Linked DNA regions of Bombyx mori. The protein of the gene in region 2 binds, or shares a complex with, the protein of the main gene of each other region. Links are inferred from orthologs where the notes say so. Each region holds a gene or a part of one and is shown on either strand. Other genes may lie near its edges. The genes, in order: queuine tRNA-ribosyltransferase catalytic subunit and queuine tRNA-ribosyltransferase accessory subunit 2.

Region 1 (3,554 bases), on a different chromosome or scaffold from region 2:
GATACCAATCAAAATATTACCCATGGTATTGATTGGAAAAGTACCAATGATGTATTTTTTCAATGCTCTTCTTGAAGAAGTTAGGTGTACAAGAGCCAGAAACTCTTCAAAGGCAATTTGTACTGAGTTATTAAATTTTGTCCTTCCCAATAAGTTTTTCAAGCACACTTATACTTTTTAAAAGTTTTCACTTCTATAGATTGATTGATTCCAGGTTGGACAAGTAGCATTCCATAAAGACAGAGAAGTAAGAAAGGCGAAAGTGGCCAAAAGAAATAATGAAATAGTAAATAGGCTGAATAAAACAAAAACAGAATCATTTCCAGACCTCAGACAAGAAAGAGAGAATCGAGATAGATTAGAGAGAGAAGATAAAAAGAAAGTTTTAAGAGAAAAAAAGGAGAAAGAGAAAGAAGAAGAAAAACGAAAAAAGGAAGAGGCAGAACTCAGAAGCTACTCTACATTAATGAAAGCGGAAAATATGTCCACTAACTATGATGGTAATGATTCCGATGATTTTATGTGACCATCATATTACAAATCCTGTTTCTATTAAATTAACACTAAAACATTTTTTTCTTCTAATAATTTTATAGAAAATATTTAAAAGTGAAAAATAAAAGTATATTTTAAAGATGGCATAAATTTATTCCAACTGAGCTAAGTGAATTTACAACCCAAGTAGGATATTGGCCATTGGGATAAACTTCGTTTACAAATTGTTGTACAAAAGCTGGAAATGTACCATTTTCAATATTTTCTCTCATAGTCCTCATAAGACGCATCTGCAATTTACAAAGATTACAAGTCAATTTTAATATACCTACATTGTATAAAATTATAAAATTGGCTTTCCACCTGCTACTTCACCTGTTTGGACTACATTTAAAGTAAATATGAAAAAAAAATATTCATCAATTTTGTGTTCATTATTATTCCAAATTAATGTCCATCTATCAATTCGGAAATCCATTCAGTACATGTGGAGTGGAGATGTGTGTGAACAAAGAAACAGACAGAAAGTGATTCAATGATTGAGCTTTAGGTTTTTAATCTATTTTTACTTTTTATTTGTGTGTATTTAGCAGATTCTACTGTTTGATTATATATATGTATTGGGAATACAGATTTGAAGTTGTTACATCACGCATAAACCACTTTTTATATTTTCTATCCGAGACACGTATTTTATCGTAAATTTCAGCTTGTTGTTTGTTGTGTTGACACTGTTATAAGTTTATGAGGAACGAAATATTAAAGTTATAACAGATGTGTAAATTTTCATGAAATCGATTGTTTTTTTATTTCAATTCATGTTTTAATATAATTAATTCCCCAAATCTCAAATAAATTTAATTAGTTCCACTTGTCTATGTAAATATCATTTTGATGAGAAGTACCGAGAACTACTATTAGGGGTTGTCAGATAGTAGACAAATTAAAAACACTACCATACCTGATAAGCAATATTGTGCACAGAAAGTAGATGGCAAGACACTGTTTCTACTGTTACAATACTGTGGAGATAAGCCCTTGTGTAATTCAAACATGTTGAACAAGTACAATCTTTGTCAATTGGATTTAGATCTGTTTCATATTTTTTTTGTTTCAAACTCAATTGTCCTTTATTCACAAGTGCACACCCAAACCTCTGGAATATAAAAAATGGAAAATAAAGACATATAAATTTTCATGTAGATGAGAAAGTTGTTAAAATTAATTATGACCTAAAGGATATTTGTATCCAGCAATGCATTTATAGTGGTGCTCAAATCCTGCATGCAAGTACTTTTTTGTAATGCCATACCTACTCATTGATAATATTCATAAATAACTTCAATGCATAAAAAATAACATCATGTAATAAATTCAAACCTGTAGAAGTATAATTAGTGTAATTAATATACAATTCATAAGAATAATCTCTAGCCTCAAGGTGAATAGCTGCATTCACATCATGATGTCTATGGGCTTCGATAACTATTTAAAATTGTGGATTTTGCGTTTAAAAAATATTGCTAGCCTGTCTCGTAAAGCAACACCATCTATCTTATCTTCTTCTGCCACAGAGCAGTCATGTGTCATTCTGTTACTGATGGGACAGCCATTACAATGATATAATTCTAACCTATATTCTAACCTGCAATTATTTTTTATTGCTTAGATGGATGGACGAGCTCACAGCCCACCTGGTGTTAAGTGGTTACTGGAGCCCATAGACATCTACAACGTAAATGCGCCACCCACCTCGAGATACAATTTCTAAGGTCTCAAGTATAGTTACAACGGCTACCCCACCCTTCGAACCGAAACGCATTGCTGCTTCACGGCGGGGTGGTGGTACCTACCCGTGCGGACTCCCAAGAGGTCCTACCACCAGTGATTACGCAAATTATAATTTTGAAGTCGTCGTGGCCTAAAGGATAAGACGTCCGGTGCATTCGTATGTAGCGATGCACCGGTGTTCGAATCCCGCAGGTGGGTACCAATTTTTCGAATGAAATACGTACTTAACAAAATATGTTCACGATTGACTTCCACAGTGAAGGAATAACATCGAGTAATAAAAATCAAACCCGCAAAATTATAATTTGCGTAATCACTGGTAGTAGGACCTCTTGTGAGTCCGCACGGGTAGGTACCACCGCCCCGCCTATTTCTGCCGTGAAGCAGTAATGCGTTTCGGTTTGAAGGGTGGGGCAGCCGTTGTAACTATACTGAGACCTTAGAACTTATATCTCAAGGTGGGTGGCGCATTTACGTCGTAGATGTCTATGGGCTCCAGTAACCACTTAACACCAGGTGGGCTGTGAGCTCGTCCACCCATCTAAGCAATAAAAAAAGAAAAAGGCTGTTAACTCGTCCAATCATTTTGCAAAAAAATTTATACATCTACCTCATGTTACAAGTCAGTATGTCAGCATTCATAATGCATATGAACTTTGGTAGCCTTCCCTTAATTATTACTTTGAGTGTAAGCTGTTCTACTCAAACTTCAACATTTCCCAGCAACAGTTGAGATCTGACCTTCTCTGCCAAATTATATTGTATTATTTATTATTTGAACATTATGATTATAGAATTAGTAAAATAAACTTACTGCTGTACGAGTTGGGAAAACACAGTCAAACATGTCAACACCAAGAGCCACACACACTACAAGATCAATGGCAACTCCAACACCCATGAGATATCGTGGCTTGTTTTTATCAAGTATTCCTGTGCTCAAGCTAACCATTGGCCAGAAATCATCCTTTGCTTCACCCCCACTGAAACACAAGTAAAATGAGTTTGTGAGTGTATAAGCTGTTTTTTTTATTTAGTAGTAAATGAGGGTTATAATGGGTTTTTTTAACTATTAAATTTTTTGAATGTATTTTATCTCAAGAGGTCTTCATTCTGTCAGAAAGTCCAAATTAATGCCTGAACTGCGTAAACTCAGCTGTAACTGTGTTAAGTATAATGAATATAATGAAGGAAATCAGTTTTGTATATTATACCTAGTCAGGTCATAAGTACCATGACATGGGGTAAATTGGGACAAACCTGCGGAA
Region 2 (3,838 bases):
GAGCTGTCTTGTCTTCTTCATTATCCAATTTCGGATTTATATTTTCATATTGTGTTATAATGTGTTTCTTGTAAATATTGAACGTAGAGGCGCTGATGTGTAGACGAGCTTGCACGAAGAATTCATTGAAATGATGTAGATTGTGTCTGAAAATACAAATTATCTTTTTAGATGTTGGTTGGCGGGAAAAATCAGCTGTGGCTTTTTTTCCAAATAAAATTTGTAAAGACAAAATTGAGTGACTGAAAATTACAGTGTAAATATTGATATTGTGTTTTGAATTTCTATAAAGTGTTTGTTTGTTATGTAAAATGTGTTTGTTGTATTTCTCTAATCAGCATGATAATAATTGTGGACGATTTTTATAAATTTACAGTGCCTCCATTTCCAGTGATAAATTAAAAATTTATGGTACACGCCGGTGGTAGAGAAGAGATTACATATTTAGAAACATCCAGCGAGGAAACAAAAGAATATATTTATTTTGACATAACATAATAAATATCGATGCTTGAAAGGCAAACGTGACTAAGCGACAATGCGTGAACTTTACGGTAGACTAATTTAAAGTTGAAATACATGAAAACAAAATTTATTTTGACGAATCTAGCTGTAGTAGAATCTAGCTTACTAGATAGTAGTAGATTCTACTACTATCTAGCTACTGCGGTAGGATTGAAATAATTTTAATAGACTTAGAAATATAATTTTTTTGGGCATCGAATATGGTTATTGCCTATCATTTATGTACAAAGCAGTTATTGTCGCTTAGTAACGTTTGCCTTTCAAGCATCGATATGTAAATATTAAATTAAAATTTAAAACTGGAGTTCTGAATCGAATATTATTAACCATGTAACAATACATTCATAACTTACATGCTCAACAAAACAGATGCCAGCATCTCTCTTGTATTTAAAAGATGCCTAATATATGCACGTGTGTGTTTTTTACATGTCAAACATTCGCATCCTTCCAGTATAGGTTTGAAATCTTCATTATACCTGAAATTATTGTGAGAAAACTTTCATTTTGTGCATTTTTTATTAGTAGAGTTAATAAAACAAGTCAAAATAGAAAGCAGCATTGTAACTCGTTTCTAACCATAGCAACTAGTGAACAATAGCATTATACACAAATTGTAGAAACAATTTTATATTAGTTTCAATTCATAATATGTAATATCTAAGAAAATACTAAATGTTTTTTCAAAGGGACAGTAATTGGAAGTATTTTTATGCTCTAGATGGGCGGAGCTGACGGTTTACCTGAGCGATGGTGGACATCATGACGTTTTATTCGATATTTTTGTTAATTTTTCACGTTTTCTTTAATAATGTGATCTTCTTTATCATGGAAGTTATTCATGAGCATGTGTTAAATATTTACTTTAAAAATTGGTATCTGTTATGGGATTTGGAAGTACAGTTATAGTAATCGGCAAACTTCTTGAGCAAATGACCTTGACTGCGCAGAACCGAATTTTAGATCACTTTGGTGGTGAGGGTGAGGCGCGACGGCAGGGGAATCGTATCGAGCGCGTTATTGGTAGATCAGTCGAACCTTGCGTCCCGCACCGCGCCCTCATTCCGCTTGCTCCCAAAAGTACGCTTGCGTACAGTGGAAAGTCTATCGTTATTAATCGTTAAGTTATTTGTTATAATTGCTTGTGGACTTTGTTGCCATTGCTATTTGTTGAGTGTTTGTTGATTTTTTATAAAACATACACTATGCCGTGACAAAGTGGTGTAGTACTTAAAAGAAAGGGTAGAAAATTTGTGTACGACGTATATTGCTTCATTATAAAACAGGGGAAGAATGATATGGAAAAATTAAAACAGACTTCGGAAGCAACAAAAACATCAGTGAGTACTGTTAGGTGCATTATTAACGAATCTAAAGGCTCTGGCTTGCTCGCCGTGTTTCGGACTCCGGGTAAGAAAAGATCAGGGAAGAAGAAAGTTACCGGAATGGATAGTTTCGTTCAATCTGTAATCATAATAACTACATAACAAGCAGCGAAACTCCGTACCGTAGAAAGGCTTCGAAAAATTTTAAGAAGATATACATTTTAATGGCTCGGAATGAAGTTTACGACGAATTATGAAAGAGCTAGGCTTCAGATGAAAAAAAAAAAACAGAAAATAATCGGAAGCCGATAATTGAAAAAAGTAACATTCGATTACTACGAATCGAATATCTTCAAAAAATAATTAATTATAGACAAAAAAGAAGACCGTGTCGACCGAGTTGTAAACTACGCCGATGAGCCCTATGTCGACTCATCACGATGATAGCGATTCGGGTGATGAAAACAGTGATGATGATGATGGTCAAGATTATGATAACGAAAAAAAATATACAAATACCAGCTTCGCTTCAACTGAACCAAGACCTGGCAACAGCTCTAGTTTTGACTTAATAGAAGGAATATCTATTTTACCCCAAGATTAAATTATTACAATTATTAAGCTATATGTTTTGTTGATGTTCTAATAAATATATAAATAAATACATATGTTGATTTTAATAATTTAATTGCATTATGACGCAGAGTAAGTAATGTTTTTGCACGTGAGTGTACCATGCGCAAACTTACCCCCACTACGTCAACAAATGCTCAAGAAGTTTGCCGGTTATTATAATAAGGTAACAAATAAGATTAATTTGTACTAACTTGAATGCTAGGTACATATTCAAATATAATGAAGACTTGAAGCTACTTTATTATGTATTACAATCACCGGTATCAGCACCAAGTTTTTAAGGTCTACAGGCTTCAGTTACCTCTTAATATCATGCGAGCTGCTTGTCTAAATCTTAAATATCTATCATACCTAATGTCATTAAGGTCCATGATACATGGATCTCCACTATATCGATACACATCAAAATTTAAAGACAATGCATGTCCCTTATTTGTGAGTTTTATTGGATATGAACCATCAAACACATCCCAACCATGCTCTATTGCTGTTACTATGACTGCAGGATTCCAAGAACCTTCAACAATACGAAGTAGATCATTTGGTAGTGAGCCCTGAAACCCAAAAAACAATTTCAAAACACATCATAAAGTAATAATAAGGATTACAATATTATAATCTATAATTTATTGATATTGTTGTTGTCTATAATTTTAAATGTGTCTATTGTCTTAAGAAAAATACGTAAGTGTAAACAGTCCTTATTCAATTATTAATATTTTACTTACACCAACTCTACTGAATATTTCTTTCAGCTTATCAAGAGAAACTTCATATGACTCCTTGCTTCCATCAGTAAGACCAGCTAATGCAACTCCAACTAATGTTTCTTTGTATTTCAGGATATGTCGGATGCATTCCTCACATTTATGTGGTATGTTCGCAGCAACTATCACACCTATCAATATATTTAATTAGGTTTCTTCACATGTTACATTATTTTGCATAATTTATTGTATATCCTATACATATACATTTTACATGTATGGACTTTACTTCTTTAGCGTATCTTTAATCCTCAGTATTGAATTCTATCTGACAAAAATTAAACAAAAACAATGTTAGGTTTATGATAAAATTACAAACCTACAAGTGAGCTTTGTTGAAGTTCTTCAGAAGCTTTATATTTATTTATGCATGAATCAAGCAAAGCCATTGTCCTCTCTACAGACTTGACAATTCTTTTTGGTTTTTCATTTAGAGAGATACGTCCATCTGAAGCAGCTAAAATTATATCAGGTTTAAATGTCTCCATTAAATCCATATATCTGAAAATTTAAATTTTGTAATTCTTATATTTTTTTAGTTCATCACTTTTTATAGCAGAGGATGTAATTTTTCAACTATCTATG

Evidence for each region.
Region 1: the proteins of queuine tRNA-ribosyltransferase accessory subunit 2 (region 2) and queuine tRNA-ribosyltransferase catalytic subunit are in contact, whole or in part, in a crystal structure (PDB 7OVS), measured with the Mus musculus proteins. The link is inferred for Bombyx mori from reciprocal best matches to the Homo sapiens genes QTRT2 and QTRT1. Residues at the interface, in NP_001343258.1 of Mus musculus: Arg39, Thr40, Gly41, Ser42, Ala43, Pro44, His45, Leu46, Thr47, His48, Gln49, Thr50, Asn53, Glu70, His71, Glu73, Val74, Glu77, Tyr78, Phe85, Ile86, Gly87, Phe119, Gln342, Glu343, Phe345, Tyr355, Asn359, His360, Ala363; in NP_068688.2 of Mus musculus: Thr50, Thr53, Met54, Lys55, Gly56, Ile57, Thr58, Thr59, Glu60, Gln61, Ser64, Arg80, Pro81, Leu85, Lys88, Ala89, Phe95, Met96, Asn97, Ala307, Lys308, Phe310, Pro320, Thr324, His325, Ala328, Phe329, Ala332, Leu333, His335.

Annotation. Positions count from the first base shown.
Region 1 is NC_085110.1:7,481,372-7,484,925, reverse strand, and holds the end of queuine tRNA-ribosyltransferase catalytic subunit, read right to left. Parts: intron 3,270-3,554; coding exon 3,101-3,269; intron 1,652-3,100; coding exon 1,457-1,651; intron 1,290-1,456; exon of another isoform or gene 786-1,289; coding exon 630-785; 3' UTR 628-629; downstream 1-627. Other genes in the region: ccdc25 (coiled-coil domain containing 25 protein), read left to right, coding at 215-526.
Region 2 is NC_085111.1:7,106,310-7,110,147, reverse strand, and holds part of queuine tRNA-ribosyltransferase accessory subunit 2, read right to left. Parts: intron 3,755-3,838; coding exon 3,573-3,754; intron 3,385-3,572; coding exon 3,215-3,384; intron 3,041-3,214; coding exon 2,838-3,040; intron 1,005-2,837; coding exon 879-1,004; intron 147-878; coding exon 1-146. UniProt on the Homo sapiens protein: Non-catalytic subunit of the queuine tRNA-ribosyltransferase (TGT) that catalyzes the base-exchange of a guanine (G) residue with queuine (Q) at position 34 (anticodon wobble position) in tRNAs with GU(N) anticodons (tRNA-Asp, -Asn, -His and -Tyr), resulting in the hypermodified nucleoside queuosine (7-(((4,5-cis-dihydroxy-2-cyclopenten-1-yl)amino)methyl)-7-deazaguanosine).